Linked DNA regions of Yarrowia lipolytica. The protein of the gene in region 1 interacts with the protein of each later gene in a pairwise test. Links are inferred from orthologs where the notes say so. Each region holds a gene or a part of one and is shown on either strand. Other genes may lie near its edges.

Region 1 (3,693 bases):
CAGTTTCCAGTCTTTTTCTCGTCTTCAAACCCGCTCCAACCACCTCAACACGACGTCACATTCCCACCCCCAAAATGTACATTTCCGGAGAAATGGGTATGCCTGAAATATGCATGATAAAGTGCGACCAGTGCGGATACAAGAATACATTAAAAGGGGGAAATTGCAGAGCTACGTGATCTGCTGCTGTATTATCGGCTTCACCGGTACGACAAGTCAGGGGGTATGTGTTTTAATAAGACCCAAACGTTTTATCGTCTTCTTCTGTGGCATATTCCTGACATTACACATTGGTCAATATAATGATACATGCAGAGCACATACAGTAACATCAGACACACGCGCGCCTTATACAAGTATGTACAGGACGAGGGTACGATACAACAGCTTCCCAGGATTCAGCACATGTTTCTGTTATCATACACGCTTCATAGTGTCTCAAAATGTCTGCAATCTGCGTTTGTATCCTCTTCCCTCTTCAGCTCATTTCAAACAAACACTGTGCGAGTTTACCTCTCGAAACGCGTCATTTGTCAAAGTTCAGACAGACCGTGTGATGGAGATGGAGGAGAGCCACCAGGAAACTGACATTTCTTACTCCCTCTGAGATGATTGGAAGGCTCGATTGATGTAGAGTTTTGTGGACCAACTGCGAGGGACAGCTCATTTCGCGTAGAAGATGCTGTATGTTCAGATATTTATGTTGGAGAATGATTGGGTCTACATAATTCACAGCAGTTCTTTTTAGAAAATTCTAATGATTTTTCACATATCTTTAATTTTTTTTTAATATATCTTTATTCTAATGGTTTTTTTTTTATATACTGTAATATTATATATTTCTTTTCCAGCACTCTACAAGCTCATATATTTGGTCAGTTCGATTCCCGTCTGAATCATTTTGATAAACTCTAGTTACCAAATATTCTGCATGAGCTCACCTCCGAACTTTCTCACCACTATCATCACACACACGAAAACATCATGGCGTACGTCAAAGGAGGAGTTTGGACAAACGTCGAGGACGAAATCCTGCGGGCTGCCATCTCCAAATATGGTCTGAACCAATGGGCGCGAGTGTCGTCTCTACTGGCTCGAAAAACAGCCAAACAGTGCAAGGCTCGGTGGACCGAGTGGCTTGATCCGACCATCAAGAAAATCGAGTGGTCGCGAGAGGAGGACGAGAAGCTGCTGCATCTGGCCAAGATCTTTCCTGCACAATGGCGAACGATTGCCCCGTTTGTGGGGCGAACTGCACACCAGTGCATTCAGCGATACGAGCGTTTGTTAGCTGAAGTTGCTGGCGAGGTGGAGGGCGAAGACGCTTCTGCGGTGGCATCTGCACCCGCCACTGAAGGTGACCAGTTTCCCGAAACCAAGCCTGCCCGGCCTGACGCCGTGGACATGGACGAAGACGAGAAGGAAATGCTGAGTGAAGCGCGAGCTCGTTTGGCCAACACTCAGGGTAAGAAGGCGAAAAGAAAGGATCGAGAACGGATGCTAGAGGACTCGCGACGGCTCAGTCAGCTTCAGAAGCGACGAGAGCTCAAAAATGCAGGAATCGACACTCGACTGAGTAAAAGGAAGAAGAATGAGATGGACTACAACGCCGATATTCCCTTTGAACACAAACCGGCCCGTGGCTTTTACTCAACTGCCGAGGAGGAGCATGAAAACGACTCGGAGCGTCTTCAACACAAACAAATGCACCGCACAGCTGCGGACGCACCTGGGCCGTCACAAAAGCGAGACAAGGCAACTTTGTCCAAGGAGGATGAGGAGAAGAAAAAGGAGCAGCAAAAGACGGCGTCTGCTCAGCGAACACTTCAACTGGCACAGTTGGACTTGCAAGATCAGATTTCCAAGCGACGAAAACTGAATCTTCCTGAGCCACAGATCCAGGATCAGGAAATGGAGGAGATTGTGAAGCTGGGAGCTCAGGGTGAAGCTCTACATAAGCGGTATGCAGACGGAGTGGCGTCAAGCTTGTCGGGTGATTACGATGACAAGATTGTGGACGACTCCATTCGAACTCCTCAAGTTCAGCAGTCGAAAGTAAAGACTACAATCGAGGAGATCAAGGCCATGGAGAACCGGTCTGTGCTTGGTAAGAGAACCGAGGAAGAGGTCGACGACGAAGCTGAAGCTGATAAAGATGGATTTGCAATCCCCAAGCTGCCTTCTAACAAGGCTGTCACTAGTGTTTCTGCTGGATCCGATATAGGAGGAGCTACTCCTGCTGGGATGACTCCTATCAAGCGGGACGCTCTGGGTTTGGTTGGATCTGTCGAAGCTACTCCTGTTTCTATTCTGCGCCAGAAACTGGCCTCTCTTCCTAAGCCCAAGAACGATTTCGAAATCACTGCGGAGGACGAAGAGGAAGATGAGGAAGCTGATAAGGAAAAGAAGCCTACAGATAACTTGCCAGTTGATAAGGGCGAACAAGCTCGATTGAAAAGAATTGCCGAGGAGCAGGAGCGACAAGAAGCTCTCAAGACTCGTTCTCAGACTCTTCAGAGAGGTCTTCCCCGGGCTACTGTTCCTGAAGTTACTTACAATGATGCTATCGGTCAAGAAGTAGTTGCTCTTCTCAGAGAGGAGGAGCTTAGGTTTCCCAATAAAGGCGATTCTGTGGCTCTAATGCAGTCTGAGTTCTCTCTCGACGACTTAGTGGATGCCGAAACTTTGATTGAGATGGAACTGATGGAGGGCGATGAGCAAGAAGTGCAGGAGGAGGATATTAAGACGGCTGCTCTTCCTGGAACAGTTGCTCGTTCCGACGAGTCCGAGGAGGAGTTCAAGACCCGTGTGGAAATCATATCCGACCAGCTTGTTGAAACGCTAACTTCTCTTGCGGAAACTTGCCAGACCGAAGAGACTGCTCTGGTGGACAAGTTTAAGGCGTATGCCAAGCGCCAGGCTACTTTATCTAAAAAGCTGACTTCTCGGTGGTCTCAACTTGAGTCTGTTGAGGTCGAGATTGCCGTGTTTTCCGAGTTAGCCCGCATGGAGGAGATTGCCATTGAGCAGCGAAGCGCGGCTCTGCAGGAGGAGGTTGACTGGCTCGTCAAGAAGGAACGTGCCGCGCAGGATAAATACCGTGAGTTGAAGGTTAAGGAGCAGGCCGCCAAGGGTGGCCATTAGGAGTCGATTAGTTAAGTAATTATTTATTGTGCATTTTGAACAGCTGATGGAGCAACAGGGCTGGTGAAGGCCTCTGCTCCGGGGTGCTCCTGCGCTCGGGTAGATACAGCACAAGTAGGTGGATCCTTCCGGAAGTGGCGATCCGGGTCGTTTAGTACTTTTTAGTGGGGAAGTGGAGAAGTTCTAAGCGAATACGTTTGTATACTTATTGACTATATGAATGGTGGAATGAGGAACGATTGCGGCAGCAGATGATGCACTTGTGATCTATTAAGACGTCAATCCTCCCCCTACGTGTGTGCTATCAGGCTACTGTTCATTTGGCCCCCAGTCAAAGTGCGCCAGAGGTTGGGCTCGACGACTATCATCGCTAGTACATACTTGACGTCTACATTTCTAATCCTATCTCTGGTCTAAAAAGATTTTCCGACAGTCGATTTATAATACAAGAGCTACGAGTATGTATATAACTACGTATATACTCGTGTAGAAGCGGACCGGAGGCGGGGACTCAACGTACTAATTTGGACTGACGAAGTTGGAGAAGCT
Region 2 (2,591 bases), on another chromosome or scaffold:
TGAACGTTTGAAGCTGGAGATCGAGAGCGAGAGACAGCGGCGTCTTGATTCCGAGAACGAGCTGGCCCGTGGACGACGTCGGGAGACCGAGCGGCATGCGGAGTCTCGTCACGACTCTTATCGAGACTCTTATCGAGACTACGAGCCTCATAGACGACGAGAGTCTGGCGACAACGTTCGAGTCAACATCAACATTGGCTCCGACAGTGGTTACGGAGGCAAGGACCCTGCCCTGGTGTCTCTTGCTCGTCAGAAGATCGAGATGTTTCTGGCCAACGAGCGGTATCGTAGGTGTGCCGGGTCCATGACGGGAGCTGCACATGATGACGAGTACAACCGGCTGCAACTCTATCTAGTTGACTCGATGGGTGTCGAGCATGCTCGCAGGATTCTTACCATGTTGACCCGTCAGCTCGGTCAGCCCGTCACTGCTCTGCCCAATGAGATTGACAAGCTCGTTGGCAACAAGGAGGTGCTCAGAAAGTCACTCGAGTTCATTGACGACGTGGTTCGGTACTCTAACAACGATCCTGATGGCCCTGGAATTCGAGCAGAGCCTGGATCTATTCAGTGGTCTTCCAACCTCAACAGTGAAATGAGTCATCTGAAGCGTACATTGTACAAGTCGCACACCGGGAGGAGATTGAGGTATTGATGTGGAGGAAGCTCTTTAATTTATATTCATTATTATGTCATACCATGTGTTATTTGTAGTTGTAATGTAGAAGTACTGTAGTTGCCCAATTACTGCTTTGTTCAGTGCTGTGCTTCCTCCCCACTATCTACTAACCCTAAACCTGAATATCGATATCAGGATGCAGACAGAAATATCAAAGTTTGTAGTTTAGGAAATATTTGACGGTGAATTCACCATCATCATCACACATCCCCATGCAAACGACCAAGTCAGACACCAACAAAATCACGTGGGAGGACACTGAGGTGCCTGCAGTGTGCACCCAGTGTCTTGGTGCCAACCCCTACATTCGAATGACTAAAGAAAAGTACGGTGCCGAGTGCAAAATGTGTACAAGACCTTTCACAGTGTTCCGGTGGCAACCAGAACGTGCACAAAAAGGCTCTTCTCGAGGAAAGCCGCTGAAGACGAACGTTTGTCTTACTTGTTCGCGACAGAAGAACTGTTGCCAGTCGTGTTCTCTCGATCTCACATATGGACTGCCGTTGGCTATTCGAGATGCAGCTTTGAAAATGGAGCAGGAGGGAGGCGGCGGGGGACTCTCTCTGAGCTCATCTTCCAACACCATCACCAAGCAGTTTATTGCTCAAAACTACGAGGAGCAACTGAAGCAGGATCAACGACTTCTTACGGACAACTCAGTCACTGGTACAGGCAAGGCTCAGAGTGCAGCCAAGGGACTGTTGAAGCAGCTGGCTAACGCCATGCCGTACAGAAAAGAGCTTTATGAAAAGGGCCAGAAGGATAAACGGCCTGCTGACAGCCGCGACAGTAAGGCTCTGACGGCCGATGTCACCAAAATTGCATCCAAGCTTCCTCTGACGGGCAGTACAACACCTGTGCCCAAGGACGCCTCTATCAAGAGCTTGTTTTTCATGGGTGTAGAGGACGATCTTCCAGAGCACGTGATCAGAAAGCATTTCACGGAGACTGGAGGAACCATCTCTTTGTTGACGGTTGTACATCGGGCTCATTGTGGGTATGTGGTGTTTGAGACTCGAGCTGCTGCAGAGAAAGCTGCTGCTGCCATAAGTGGAGGACGACTAGTCCTGAACGGCTGTCGTCTTCGTGTTGCATGGGGTAAGCCTCGAAACCTGGGATCGTCCTCAGACGAGCAGTGGAAGCTCGGCCAGATGATCAAAAAGTATCTTCGAAGTAAGGGCGGAAGTTCTAACAAGGACGGAGCTGCTGGGCGAGATGAAGCTGCGCCCCCTCCTCCTGGTCAGGGTATCAAGTACCAGAGTCAGGGCAACATTGAGTTGTAGGGCTGGTTAATGACTACTTGTACTCACTATGTAATTATTATTTATTCAACCACACAGTTAATTGTTCTTCATTGTATAAAATAGTTAGTGTACATGGTGTTTATGATTGTATCTTGTCTATCTGGTATGATACCAACATTGACCTTCTGCTTAACCGTAAGTGTCGTCAAACTCCTCCTCGCTGTCAGGCTCGATCTCGGCCTTGGCTGCCAGATCCTTTCGACACATGGGGCAGGTGGCATTCAGCTTGAGCCATGGAGCGATGCATTCCAGATCAAAGTGGTGCTTTCTGTTGCATGGAAGTCGCACTACCAGTGGAAACTCATCCTCCAGGTACGGCGTGGAACAGATGGCGCATGAGTCTGACTCCTTGAGCTGCTTCTTGGGGACACGATCCAGGGTGTCAAGATACTCCTGACCCAGCCCCTTGGGCTTGGGGGCTTCACCTGTCTGGAGATCCAGTCCGTCGATGAACTGGACGAAGAAGTCGATGATTTCGTTCCTGTCTAGCTGGCGGATCGCCCGCTCGAAAGCAGGAACGTATTCTGGGCCGGGGTTAGTGTCCGACACTCCAGCCCTCCGATCTCGATCTCTTTCGACATTCAGAAACTGCTGGAGGTTGGCTCCGA
Region 3 (2,618 bases), about 1.2 Mb from region 1:
AAGATCAAGGTAGAGGAGGATATTGAGGCGGAGAGGCGAGACAGTGCGGAGCCCGAAACTGAGATAGAGTCGTCCGAGGAACCCGATTCTCCCACCCCCCGGCGACCAGGTACGGCTTCGTCCCAATCTTCCAGATACACAAATGATGAAGAGTAAAACTACACGATTACATAAACAATGCATGATTGACTAATGAGAGAAATGTTTCCATGGATATATGAAGTTGCAGTCGATGTAATCATGGAGATAGTTACAGTTCGAGTAGAGTACGTACAAGTACCTATACATACTTGTAGCCGAAGATAAAAAAATCTTGACATTTTGTATTGGGGAAGGGTATGTCATGAGTCCAGCACCCAAGTACATACAGTACTCGTAGATGAATGGCTTGTTTCTTACTTCAACTTGTTTCATAAACAGGGCTGATAGCCTGCTGGATAGGTTAAAAAGTTGCAGTTGTACTCGCAGTACAAGTACACTACTTACTTGTAGGTCATACTAATGTTACTAATGTTATGGTAATAAATATTGGCTATATAATTTACAATGTACAGTATGTATAACACGAACGTCCCCAGAGCGCGGGATACAGGATGTACAGCGATAGCGACAGATCTTGCGCTATCAGTCTAGTCTAGCAGAGCCTGCACACGTCGTTTCCTTTCCTCCAGTAATCGTGCTTCCAAATCTCCCTCCTCGGGAACAGTGATATCTCCGACAACGAAACCACTATCTTCGTCTGGTTTTCCAGCAAGCATATCCTGTAATTCAGATTCTCTCTGTTTCTCAAACTCCATCAGCCCCGTGACATTATCATCGGCGTAGCCAAAGTACACCATATTGAGGTTCTTTGGAGGGATGTAAAAGTCACCGGATTTCTTGGTATCGTCCTTCTTTTGCGACTGCAGCATTTCGGACACGCCTGGAAGCTCTCTAGCTCGTCCGTAGTATTGGTAACCTCGCTTCTTTCCTCCAAACGAGGCGTAATTGGGCCCTCCTAGACTTCGGATCTGCAGGTCCCATCGATGCCGTTCGCTCATCAGCTTGTTGATTTCGTCATTGAGGTCTCTGAGCTGGAAGTCAGACAGCGCCGGGTCCTGGATCTTGGTCACCTTTCTGGAAATCTCCTTCATGACCTGAGATCTCCATTTCTCAGCCTGGGGGAGACTCTCCACTCCAGAGATGTATGTTGGGCGAACTGTGCGGCCAACGTCCAGCAAGCCAGCAGCATTGGCTTGTTGCTGCTGGAACCGATGCAACATGCTGCCCTGCTTTTCCGAGTTCCGCGACATTGATGGCGGCCTTTTGTGTGTATGGTGGGGGAGCTGGTCAATGCCATAAATTTACTTGACCGGCCTTAGATTCAATGTTCAACACCCTGCTCTTTTCCTGCACAGTGGGCAAATATGCATGGTGATGACGTATGCGAGCTCACGTGCTGGGGCGAGTGTGGGTGGAAAACAGACTGTTTGAGATGGGAAAATTGAGCAGAAATTTGCCAGATTCAGTTTAAATGCCCTCTTGACTCCATTTATTTTTTCAATACGGGTTTCAGACCTTTGAAAAGCGGCCTGTTATCCCCTCCATGTTGCCTTTTCCATTCGTCTCCAACTTACCCTCTCGAACTCTATCGACATTCCTCAAAATCATATAAATGTCCTTGGCCCCAAAAACAAACCCTTCGCCCTACCCCTTACCACGACATTTCAAGGTATGTGATCATGAAGAGAAGGAACAACCGAGGAAACAGAGAGAGAGCGGAGGCACCAGCACACCAAAACACGTCGCAAACACACGGCTTGTCGCACCACTTGTCCGATTTACTAACGCAGGTTTTTTTTTTTCAAGCGCACCGTCGTTGTCGTTGAAGACTTTTTTGCCGTGGGACTGATTTCATTCGTTTGTTTAAGGTTACACACGTGACTTCAACTCTAAAAGGAACCCCACCGGTTTTAGCGTTTATTTATTGGGAGCTGTGCAGGATTCGAACACACAACCACAATGTCTCACTTTGGCGATCACGTGGGCATCGACCCTGCGATTATGAAGCAGTACAGTGAGCACCACAATGGCAGCCACGATAATGACGACAAGGACAAGGAGGACAAGGAGAAACAAAACACCGAGGCCGTGGCTGCCGCCGCTGTCCAGCTGGACGCTTCGCTCCTAGCTTCTGGCATTCTGGACGACTTTGAAAAGGCCAAAAAGGAAGAGGAGGAGGCCAACGGAAACAACAATGCATCCAACGACCAGCAGAACGCTAGCGACCGCCACGTGGGCGACATGCTGGAGCAGCACAGCCAACAGCATCAGCAGAGCCAAGAGCACGATACCAGCTACATCAACACTTATATTGAAGACAAGGTTCCTCTGACTTCGGTGTTGATTCCCGGTGACCGACGTGTTTCCGATCGAGAGGCTTCTGACCGTATTGCTGCCACTACCCGACGTGTGCGGCTTCGGTGGACCCAGGAGGAGACTGCCGATCTCATGGAGGGCTGCAAGGTGCACGGGGTGGGCAACTGGAAGAAGATTCTGACTGACCCCCGTTTCCGATTCAACAACCGAACTGCAGTTGATCTGAAGGACCGGTTCCGAACCTGTTTCCCCGAAGACTA

The links. The genes of interacting proteins can lie anywhere in the genome.
Region 2: the proteins of YALI1_D25370g (region 1) and YALI1_E40144g interact in binary tests that used the Schizosaccharomyces pombe proteins (3 or more experiments, as listed by UniProt). The link is inferred for Yarrowia lipolytica from reciprocal best matches to the Schizosaccharomyces pombe genes cdc5 and cwf5.
Region 3: the proteins of YALI1_D25370g (region 1) and YALI1_D13679g interact in binary tests that used the Schizosaccharomyces pombe proteins (3 or more experiments, as listed by UniProt). The link is inferred for Yarrowia lipolytica from reciprocal best matches to the Schizosaccharomyces pombe genes cdc5 and cwf12.

The regions. Positions count from the first base shown.
Region 1 is NC_090773.1:2,536,038-2,539,730, forward strand, and holds YALI1_D25370g (uncharacterized protein), read left to right. Parts: upstream 1-984; coding exon 985-3,144; downstream 3,145-3,693. UniProt on the Schizosaccharomyces pombe protein: Involved in mRNA splicing and cell cycle control.
Region 2 is NC_090774.1:4,013,484-4,016,074, forward strand, and holds YALI1_E40144g (uncharacterized protein), read left to right. Parts: upstream 1-891; coding exon 892-1,962; downstream 1,963-2,591. Other genes in the region: YALI1_E40097g (uncharacterized protein), read left to right, coding at 1-655; YALI1_E40161g (uncharacterized protein), read right to left, coding at 2,113-2,591.
Region 3 is NC_090773.1:1,366,664-1,369,281, forward strand, and holds YALI1_D13679g (uncharacterized protein), read right to left. Parts: upstream 1,293-2,618; coding exon 630-1,292; downstream 1-629. Other genes in the region: YALI1_D13611g (uncharacterized protein), read left to right, coding at 1-156; YALI1_D13686g (uncharacterized protein), read left to right, coding at 2,002-2,618.